2 linked regions of the Sus scrofa genome follow. The protein of the gene in region 2 purifies or fractionates together with the protein of the main gene of each other region. This does not show direct contact. Links are inferred from orthologs where the notes say so. Each region holds a gene or a part of one and is shown on either strand. Other genes may lie near its edges.

What was found.
Region 1: the proteins of CD40 (region 2) and baculoviral IAP repeat-containing protein 2 purify together in Homo sapiens (affinity purification with western blotting; 4 studies listed by BioGRID and IntAct, with this or other methods). This does not show direct contact. The link is inferred for Sus scrofa from reciprocal best matches to the Homo sapiens genes CD40 and BIRC2.

The regions. Positions count from the first base shown.
Region 1 is NC_010451.4:33,040,405-33,044,521, reverse strand, and holds the start of baculoviral IAP repeat-containing protein 2, read right to left. Parts: upstream 2,916-4,117; 5' UTR 2,778-2,915; intron 2,281-2,777; exon of another isoform or gene 2,099-2,280; intron 1,003-2,098; 5' UTR 887-1,002; exon of another isoform or gene 1-886. UniProt on the Homo sapiens protein: Multi-functional protein which regulates not only caspases and apoptosis, but also modulates inflammatory signaling and immunity, mitogenic kinase signaling, and cell proliferation, as well as cell invasion and metastasis.
Region 2 is NC_010459.5:48,288,983-48,292,627, reverse strand, and holds part of CD40 (tumor necrosis factor receptor superfamily member 5 precursor), read right to left. Parts: intron 2,492-3,645; coding exon 2,413-2,491; intron 2,123-2,412; exon of another isoform or gene 2,101-2,122; coding exon 1,975-2,100; intron 1,696-1,974; coding exon 1,549-1,695; intron 1,208-1,548; coding exon 1,114-1,207; intron 1-1,113.

The sequences.
Region 1 (4,117 bases), on a different chromosome or scaffold from region 2:
TATACAACTCCGGTGCTATTTGCTCATTATTTGGTACAATACTAACCTAACAGCATGAAAGAAGCTAACACACTTCTGAAAATGTTAAAACAGAGGTTTATAGTCCCAAAATTCTAAACAAGCATAGAATACCTAAATTATGCCTTTAATTTGCCTTTGGTTATAAGTTACAAAGCCTGGTTATAAAGCCAATTAATTATTATTCTACAAGAGGAAAAAAACTAAATGCAGGCTTCTTTCCCTACCAGCACTTTAGTATGATACTTTAAAAAATCTTTTATTCTAGTAAAAAAGAATTAAAGTCTCCATATGGTCGCATTATCTAAAAGCTAATTTCACAGTTTACCAACGCAGTATTTACTTAAGAAGGTTAAATTAGCTTCAGCTAACAACTTTCGGGGATGTCAATACCTACTAGCTTTCTTGAAGCCTGTGTGATGTCAAAGGAAATGAATTCTGCTTCCTTCAAAAACTGATAACTCTTCCATCTTTGTTAAATATTGTCTATATTTGTTTCCATTACCTGCAGCATCATTATGTTGTTTTTCTTCCTAACTTTGCAAACAGTTTATTACACTTGATCAATTGAGGGTATTTTCTCCATAAATTTAACTAGTTAACCATAAAATTTTCACAGGAGAAACTTTCTTAAAAAATTAACTTTTTTTGTTTAAGAATCATGCATGTATATTACTCATTTTGTAATTAAAGGTAAATATTTATCAAGATACAGTTTGTCCTTTCTAGTGTTAACACATAAGCCTAAGAAGATACTGCATTATCAACAGAATCACTATTCATGCGTAATGTACCAATAATTAACCCTACTAGCCTTCTTTCTGAAAACCCTTCATAAATTAAAAATATAATTCATACACAAAATTACATTGCACAGAATGCAAACTATATCCCTTCATAAAGTTTCTGAGTCTCCACAACTGGATTTATTACTTCAATGGGAAAAAATGAGAGGGCAAAAGTAGACTCTTCAGGACTGTAAATCTGAAAAGAAAAAACAAAAGCTATTTTAGAAAACCATATTCTCACAGTAAATACAGTTTATAATTTTCTCAATTTATTCAGTAAATTCTAAAAGTGACTTATACTTTAAATAATGCATCTTTTTTTTTTTTTTTTTTTTTTTTGTCTTTTGTCGTTGTTGCTATTTCTGGGCCGCTCCCGCAGCATATGGAGGTTCCCAGGCTAGGGGTTGAATCGGAGCTGTAGCCACCAGCCTACGCCAGAGCCACAGCAACGCAGGATCCGAGCCGCGTCTGCAACCTACACCACAGCTCACGGCAACGCCGGATCGTTAACCCACTGAGCAAGGGCAGGGACGAACCCGCAACCTCATGGTTCCTAGTCGGATTCGTTAACCACTGCGCCACGACGGGAACTCCTAAATAATACATCTTAATTCCAGCAATTTGTCACCAAAATTAATTGCAAAGCCTTTTAAAATAAATGCAGTATACTCCCCTTAGCAATAAGTACACATTTTTTTTTTTTTATGTACTACTTTGAAGACAGATGGACATAGTAAAATACTTCGCCCCTGGTCTCCTCCCCTATTCTTCTTCTTGTGTGTGTGTGTGTGTGTGTGTGTGTGTGTGTGTGTGTGCGCGCGCTTTTTAGGGCCACCCGGGGCATAAGGAGGTTCCCAGACTAGGGGTCCAATCAGAGCTATAGTTGCCGGCCTACACCACAGCCACAGCAACATCAGATCCGAGCCGCGTCTGAGACCTCCTTAACCCACTGAGCAAGGCCAGGGATCGAACCCACAACCTCATGGTTCCTAGTTGGATTCGTTTCCACTGCACCACAACGGGAACTCCTCCTCCCCTCTTCTGGTGACAACTTATAATTTAGTTTAAGGATAATTATCTATGGCAATTTGCTAGCGGTAAAAAGGGAGGGTGAAAAATAGACTGCACCCATCATCAACAGTACAGCAGTTATCCAGACAATAACGTTATTTCTTAATGTCAAGTCTCTCCAGAACTAGGCAAAAAAACTACTAAGAGTTAAAATTCACCAGGAACTCGTGAATACAATGCCTTCACAATTCCAAAGCAACAATTCGCAGAAAGCAACTCACAAAACAAAACACAGCACAATGGCCTATGAAACACTGGCCTTGGGAATGTGACCGCTTGAATGAATGCCTCCGTTACACAAGGACTTGAGGTCCTATCTTTGCATATTTTTAATCTGCAGGAACTGTACAGGATTTGCCCTCTTTAGGCAAACTGTGGCTGGGGGGAAGGGGAAGGAGACAGACTGCAAGGAAAAAGAAGAGAAATTATGGAATTTTATTAATTTCCCCGAGTTATTTCTCGCAATATACAATAGAATACTAAAGTGGCAAAGCGGGGTTGTACCTATCTGAAACAAGAGATCTCGCCGATACGTTACTGTCTCCGTTTGAATATATTAAATAAAGGAATACCGAGGGTTAAGTTTAAAACCCTGCAAAAACTCTTAAAACATCTTGGCCAAAGGCCAAGGGCCAGAAAAGTGAGAAGCGGCCAGAGTAGACTTGTAAACAGGTCAATTAAAAAAATTATTTTCGACAGCATGTCTTGGAACTGGAGCTTCCGAATTAAACAAAAGCATCTTCGACAGTAGAGTAGCAAAGAGCTAACTGCTACCTGCGACCCCCGACTCCCGGCCCTGTCCTCCCCAGCCCAACTGCAGTCTCGGGGAAGGCAGGCCCCGCGGCCTGCGCGCCCCGACCCAGCCCCGCGAGGCCTGGGTCCGGAAGGACCTGCACTCACCACAGGGCAGACGCGTCCAACACGAAACAGCAGTGCCACCAGGAGCCTCCACAGTCCCGGGAGCAACGACGCGGGCTGAACTGCCGGCTGGGCTGCGCAGTTAGAGCTCCTGGGGCCCCCCCCGCCCGCTCAGGGCCCACGCAGACGCACGATGACGTCAGCGCGCCGACCGGGTGCGCGTCACTCCCTCTGCGAGGGCGCCCCGGAGTCTGTGGGCGGAGAGCGGGACCCAGCGCGCGGTCAGCCCTCAGGGGAAGGCAGGGCTGGGCGTGAGCTTGGTGTGCTAATCTTCAATCTCGCTGCGAGAGCACTTTCCCTCGCTGTCCCTCTCATCCTCCTGAGCGGGACGTGGCGAGAGCCGTCGAGTTTGAATCTTTGGAAGCCCTGGGGAAACGCCCGGGCGCGGGTGGCGAACCTCTCCCCACGTCGACTCGCCGGGATTAGTTCCCGGCCGGATTCCTCCAATGGGACCCTCCCCTCGGCGTGGATGACGGCGTTTGAGGGTGGAGTCAGCCCGGAGGCGTTTCGGCTGCAACTAAGTAAACAGCTGTAACCATTTCCCCTTTGCAGCTGCCTGGCGTCAACCTTCCACAGCTGGCCCTGGGGATGGGAAAAAAGCCAAGTGTTGGAAAGCAGAACAGCCTCAGATTAATTTTGAAGCCTTGATTCTATAATGTTGGGGGGCATATCTATTATATAATCACTATCTTTTCTGTTTTTCTCTTCTGGAGACGAATGCATTAACGAAAAGTGTCCTATTTTCATCACTAGCAAAGTGAACACGGTGTTTCAGGCCAGGCTTCACTCCCCCTTTTTTCTGAATGTGGCTAGAACGGAATATATACATTTATGTAGATGTGTGTATATGTAAATCGTACACGAACCATAAAGGAGCCCATTTGTCCATCACATTTTAAAAGTTAACTGTCAGAAAAAAATTGTAAATACAAAATACTACCTTTACTAGTCAGGGACGTTTTCCAGCCCCCTCTTTAGCAATGGGGTGAAGACAGACAGTTGCATGCAGTATTAGTTGAATGGCGGCAGGAGAATTTTTTAATTTATGTTCTGTGAAGACACTCATTGTCAATGATATCGGATGCTTTCTTCTCTCAGGGGAACTCCAGGGGGCAAATATTTCAAAAAAAACTTCCAAATAACAAGCCACTTAATTAGGCAGCCAGGGGAATTCCGAGACCCTGAACCATTTCCCATTTCCTCCCCGTCATTTCTGCCTGCCAGTCAGTAACAGAACAGGAGGGCTTCTGTTCCAATGTTAATAGTAAAAGTATTTGTAACAGCTTGTGATACAGAGAAAAGAAATGCATGCTTGATTCCCA
Region 2 (3,645 bases):
TCTTATTCATTTTTTTTCAAATTAAATGCAAAAAGTTAATCAGGCATGTGTTGAAGAGTATGCCAGGCAGAAGAGTGTGATAGAACAGAACAGACAGTGTGTTGAGGGGGTTGCCGGCATGATGTGGGAAGAGGTCAGGAAACGGAGCTGGAAGGTCAGAGGCCATGCACAGGAGTCTGAGTTTCACCCTAAAAGGCACAGGGAGCCATGAAGCATATTATATAGGGAGTGCCATGATCCGAACTTGGCGCAAGGATGGGGGAGCAGCTGAGGAAGAGAGAGCAGAGGCAGGGAGGCAGGTAAGGAGGCATGCCAGCGTGTTACACAGGGGGGAGGGGAGCTGGCACGTGCCTGTGGGTCACCTGCGTGGAGGTGTACCCTTCGCAGTTAGATACAACAGTCAGGGACCCAGGAGACAAATCTAGATGGACGTTGACTGGGAACCACCTGAGGGAGATGGTGGCTGAAGCCATGGATGTTGATGAGATGGCCCAGGGCAGGCGGGCAAAGGGATGGGCTGGAAGAGCCTAGAACAAAAGCCTAGAAAACCAGCTGAGGAGGAGGAATGGGGAGCAGAGGAAGGGGTACAAGGAAAGAGGAGGGATGTCACATGCCCCCAAGAAGGGAGCCTTTCACTGAAGATTAGCGATCTGCGGTATCTCTTCCCACCAAGAGAGAACAGGCAAGACCTGCTGAAAAGTGTTGGAGTTCCCGTTGTGGCTCAGTGGAAACAAATCTGACTAGTATCCATGAGAACACAGGTTCGATCCCTGGCCTCGCTTAGTGGGCTAAGGATTCAGCGTTGCCGTCAGCTGTAGTGTAGGTCGCAGACGTGGCTTGGATCTGGCATTGCTGTGGTATAGGGCAGCAGCTGCTGCTCCGATTTGACCCCAAGCCTAGGAACCTCTGTGTACTGCAGGTGCAGCCCTAAAAAGACAGGGGGAAAAAAAATAAATGCTGGAAAGGTGTCCGTTTGCTAGGCCAGGAGGTCACTCTAGAAGTTCTACAGGTGTACGAGTGTGCATGGCCATGGGGAGCAGAAAGGCAGGTGGCCAGATAGAATGGAGGTCCCTGGCCCTTGGGGCAGGAAATACAAGGGATGCGTCCTTATACCTTGTCCAAGGCTGACACTTTTCTGAAGCAGATGATACATTGGAGAAGAAGCCAACTGGGCAGGGTTCACAGATAGTGTCAGAAACCTCTGTCGCTGGGAGGGAAGAGGAAGCATTAAGCATCATAGTGGACCACCTGTCTGGCTCTCAAGGGAACCAAGGGACAGGCAGGATAGGAAGAGCAGCCTGCTTGAAGCACCTTTCCCCCCGTCAGGCAGTCCCCAGGAAGGCTTCTCCCACTGCCCTCCCGAGGCAGATCACCATGGCAGGAGGTGGAAGGAAAAGGTTGCCGTTCCCACCCACTCTAGTGAAACTACCCATGGGGACAGGTCCCTCCACCTCCAGGGCTGAGTGCCCACTACCAAGCCCCTCTCCTTTGGCCCTTGCCTCCTCTCTGAGCCTGCTTCTACAGCTGATTCCCAGACAGGACACTTACCCATCTGCTTGACCCCGAGGCCAGGGAAGCACAAGCTGTGCAAGGTGCAACTTTCACAGGCGCTGTTGGTACAGTGATGGCCTTCACTGCACACACAAGTGGTGTCTGTTTTCGAGGTGCCCTCCCTCTGGACCTGGAGACCTAGGTCTGTGCAGAGATGGGCAGAAAGGATGGGAACCCCTTGCTGGCCATGCTCGGGGTGGCAGGGGGTCCCTGTTCCTCACACTTCCTGTTTGTTTTTCCTCTTAGACCCTTGCCAAGGGATGGCAATCAAATTAGGTACCAACCAGGACAACGCAGACTCCAACCCAATCAGAACAGACCCTGGCTATTCAAAACAGAACAAAACAGAAAGGCTGTGCTGTCAGGAATGAGCTGGAATATCAACCTGGCTCCCAAGTGCCCCTTCCCCGGCAGCCCACGCACTGGGGTCGCAGTATTTGTGCTGATGACAGTGTTTCTCTCTATTCCAGGTGGCTAGGAATTCGCTGGAACTGCAAGGAAGGCATTCTGTTTCAGTGACCTCTGTGCAGTGGTTCACCAGTTTCTGTCCTGGAAAAGAGCAGGAAGTGAGGTACCTCCAGCCAACTCTATAAGTCAGACACTTATCGAAAAACAGTTAGGCTGGGCTTTAGGAAAGGGGACTCAAAGATGACAGTCTTGGACCCCTCCAGCCTTCGTAGTCTGGTGGGGGACATAAAAGAGACAGGAACCCTGGAGCTGGGTCTGCAGAGAGGGGCCCCAGAACATCCCATCCAGGGGTCATCGAGGACGCAAGTTGACAGTTGACACACGGGGTCTGCATCTGCCAGCAGACCAAGGGGGGGTCGCACTACGGGGCTAGAGGGTTAGCATCTCTCTCACCTGGCGGGCACAAATTACAGCACCGGCTGTTTGTTGGGTATTGGTTTTCTTTGCATGAAGTGGGTGGTTCTGGGTGGACCTAAAAGCAGAATCAGGGGCAATTTGAAGGGGTCTTGAGATCTCTGCAGTAGCCTCCTGGGCAGGAAGAGGCAAGAGGTTAGAGCTGAAGTGCAAGTCACAGCAGGCAAGGGAGGCCTGCATATTATTTGGTGAGTTTTGTTTTTAACCACTCTGCCAACTGGTGTGATGGCAAAGGCACCCAGAGAGTCATTCTGGTATTTTACAAGGTAATTGCGCTGGAACCTCACACTATTCACTGAACTAAACAGATCTTCCTTTTGGCTTGACTCCTGGGTCTTTCCTCTACCCAAAGAGCCAAAAGCACATGAGGACTCCAGCCCCTCCCCTGGAGCTTGGCTGGCTCCAGCTGGTCCTAGTCCCGATTGGGGCTATATTTAGCACCTGGCCTCTTCCTTCTATTCTTTTGTTCCCCATCCCTCCCCGTCTCCAAGCCACACCATGTTTTCTCCCTCCAACCCCTCATCATCTGATCATCTAACCCCTCCCTCATGAAGTACCAGGGCTGTGAAGGCAGAAGGACAAAATCCAACTCTCCCACTTTACTTAAGATGAGAGGGAGTTCCCTGGTGGCCTCGCAGTTAAGGATTCGGGTCGATCCCTGGCCTGGGAATTTCCCCATACTGTGGGCACGACCAGTAATAGTAATACTAGTAGTGGTAGTGGTAATGAAGGAGTTCCCGTCGTGGCGCAGCAGAAACGAATCCGACTCGCCTCCACGAGGACACAGGTTCGATCCCTGGCCTCACTCAGTGGGTTAAGGATCTGGTATTGCCGCGAGCTGTGGTGTAGGTCAAAGATGTGGCTCGGATCTGGTGTTGCTGTGGCTGTGGTGTAGGCCAGCAGCTATAGCTCCAATTTGACCCCTAGCCTGGGAGCCTCCATGTGCCGCAGGTGCGGCCCTAAAAAGACCAAAATAATAATAATAATAATAATAATAATAATAATAATAATAAAGATGAGAATAAGGACCAGGGAGGCTGGGTCATTTGCCTGAGGTCACACAGTGATAGAATCTGAATGAGAACTCGGGTCTCAATACTCCCTCTCTCCATCAACTCGGGTCTCACCTGCACTAATGTTTTTTACTATACCCTGGTACCACCCATGCTATTAATTACTTCTTGTTAAATTAAACACATTCCTTTTCTTTTG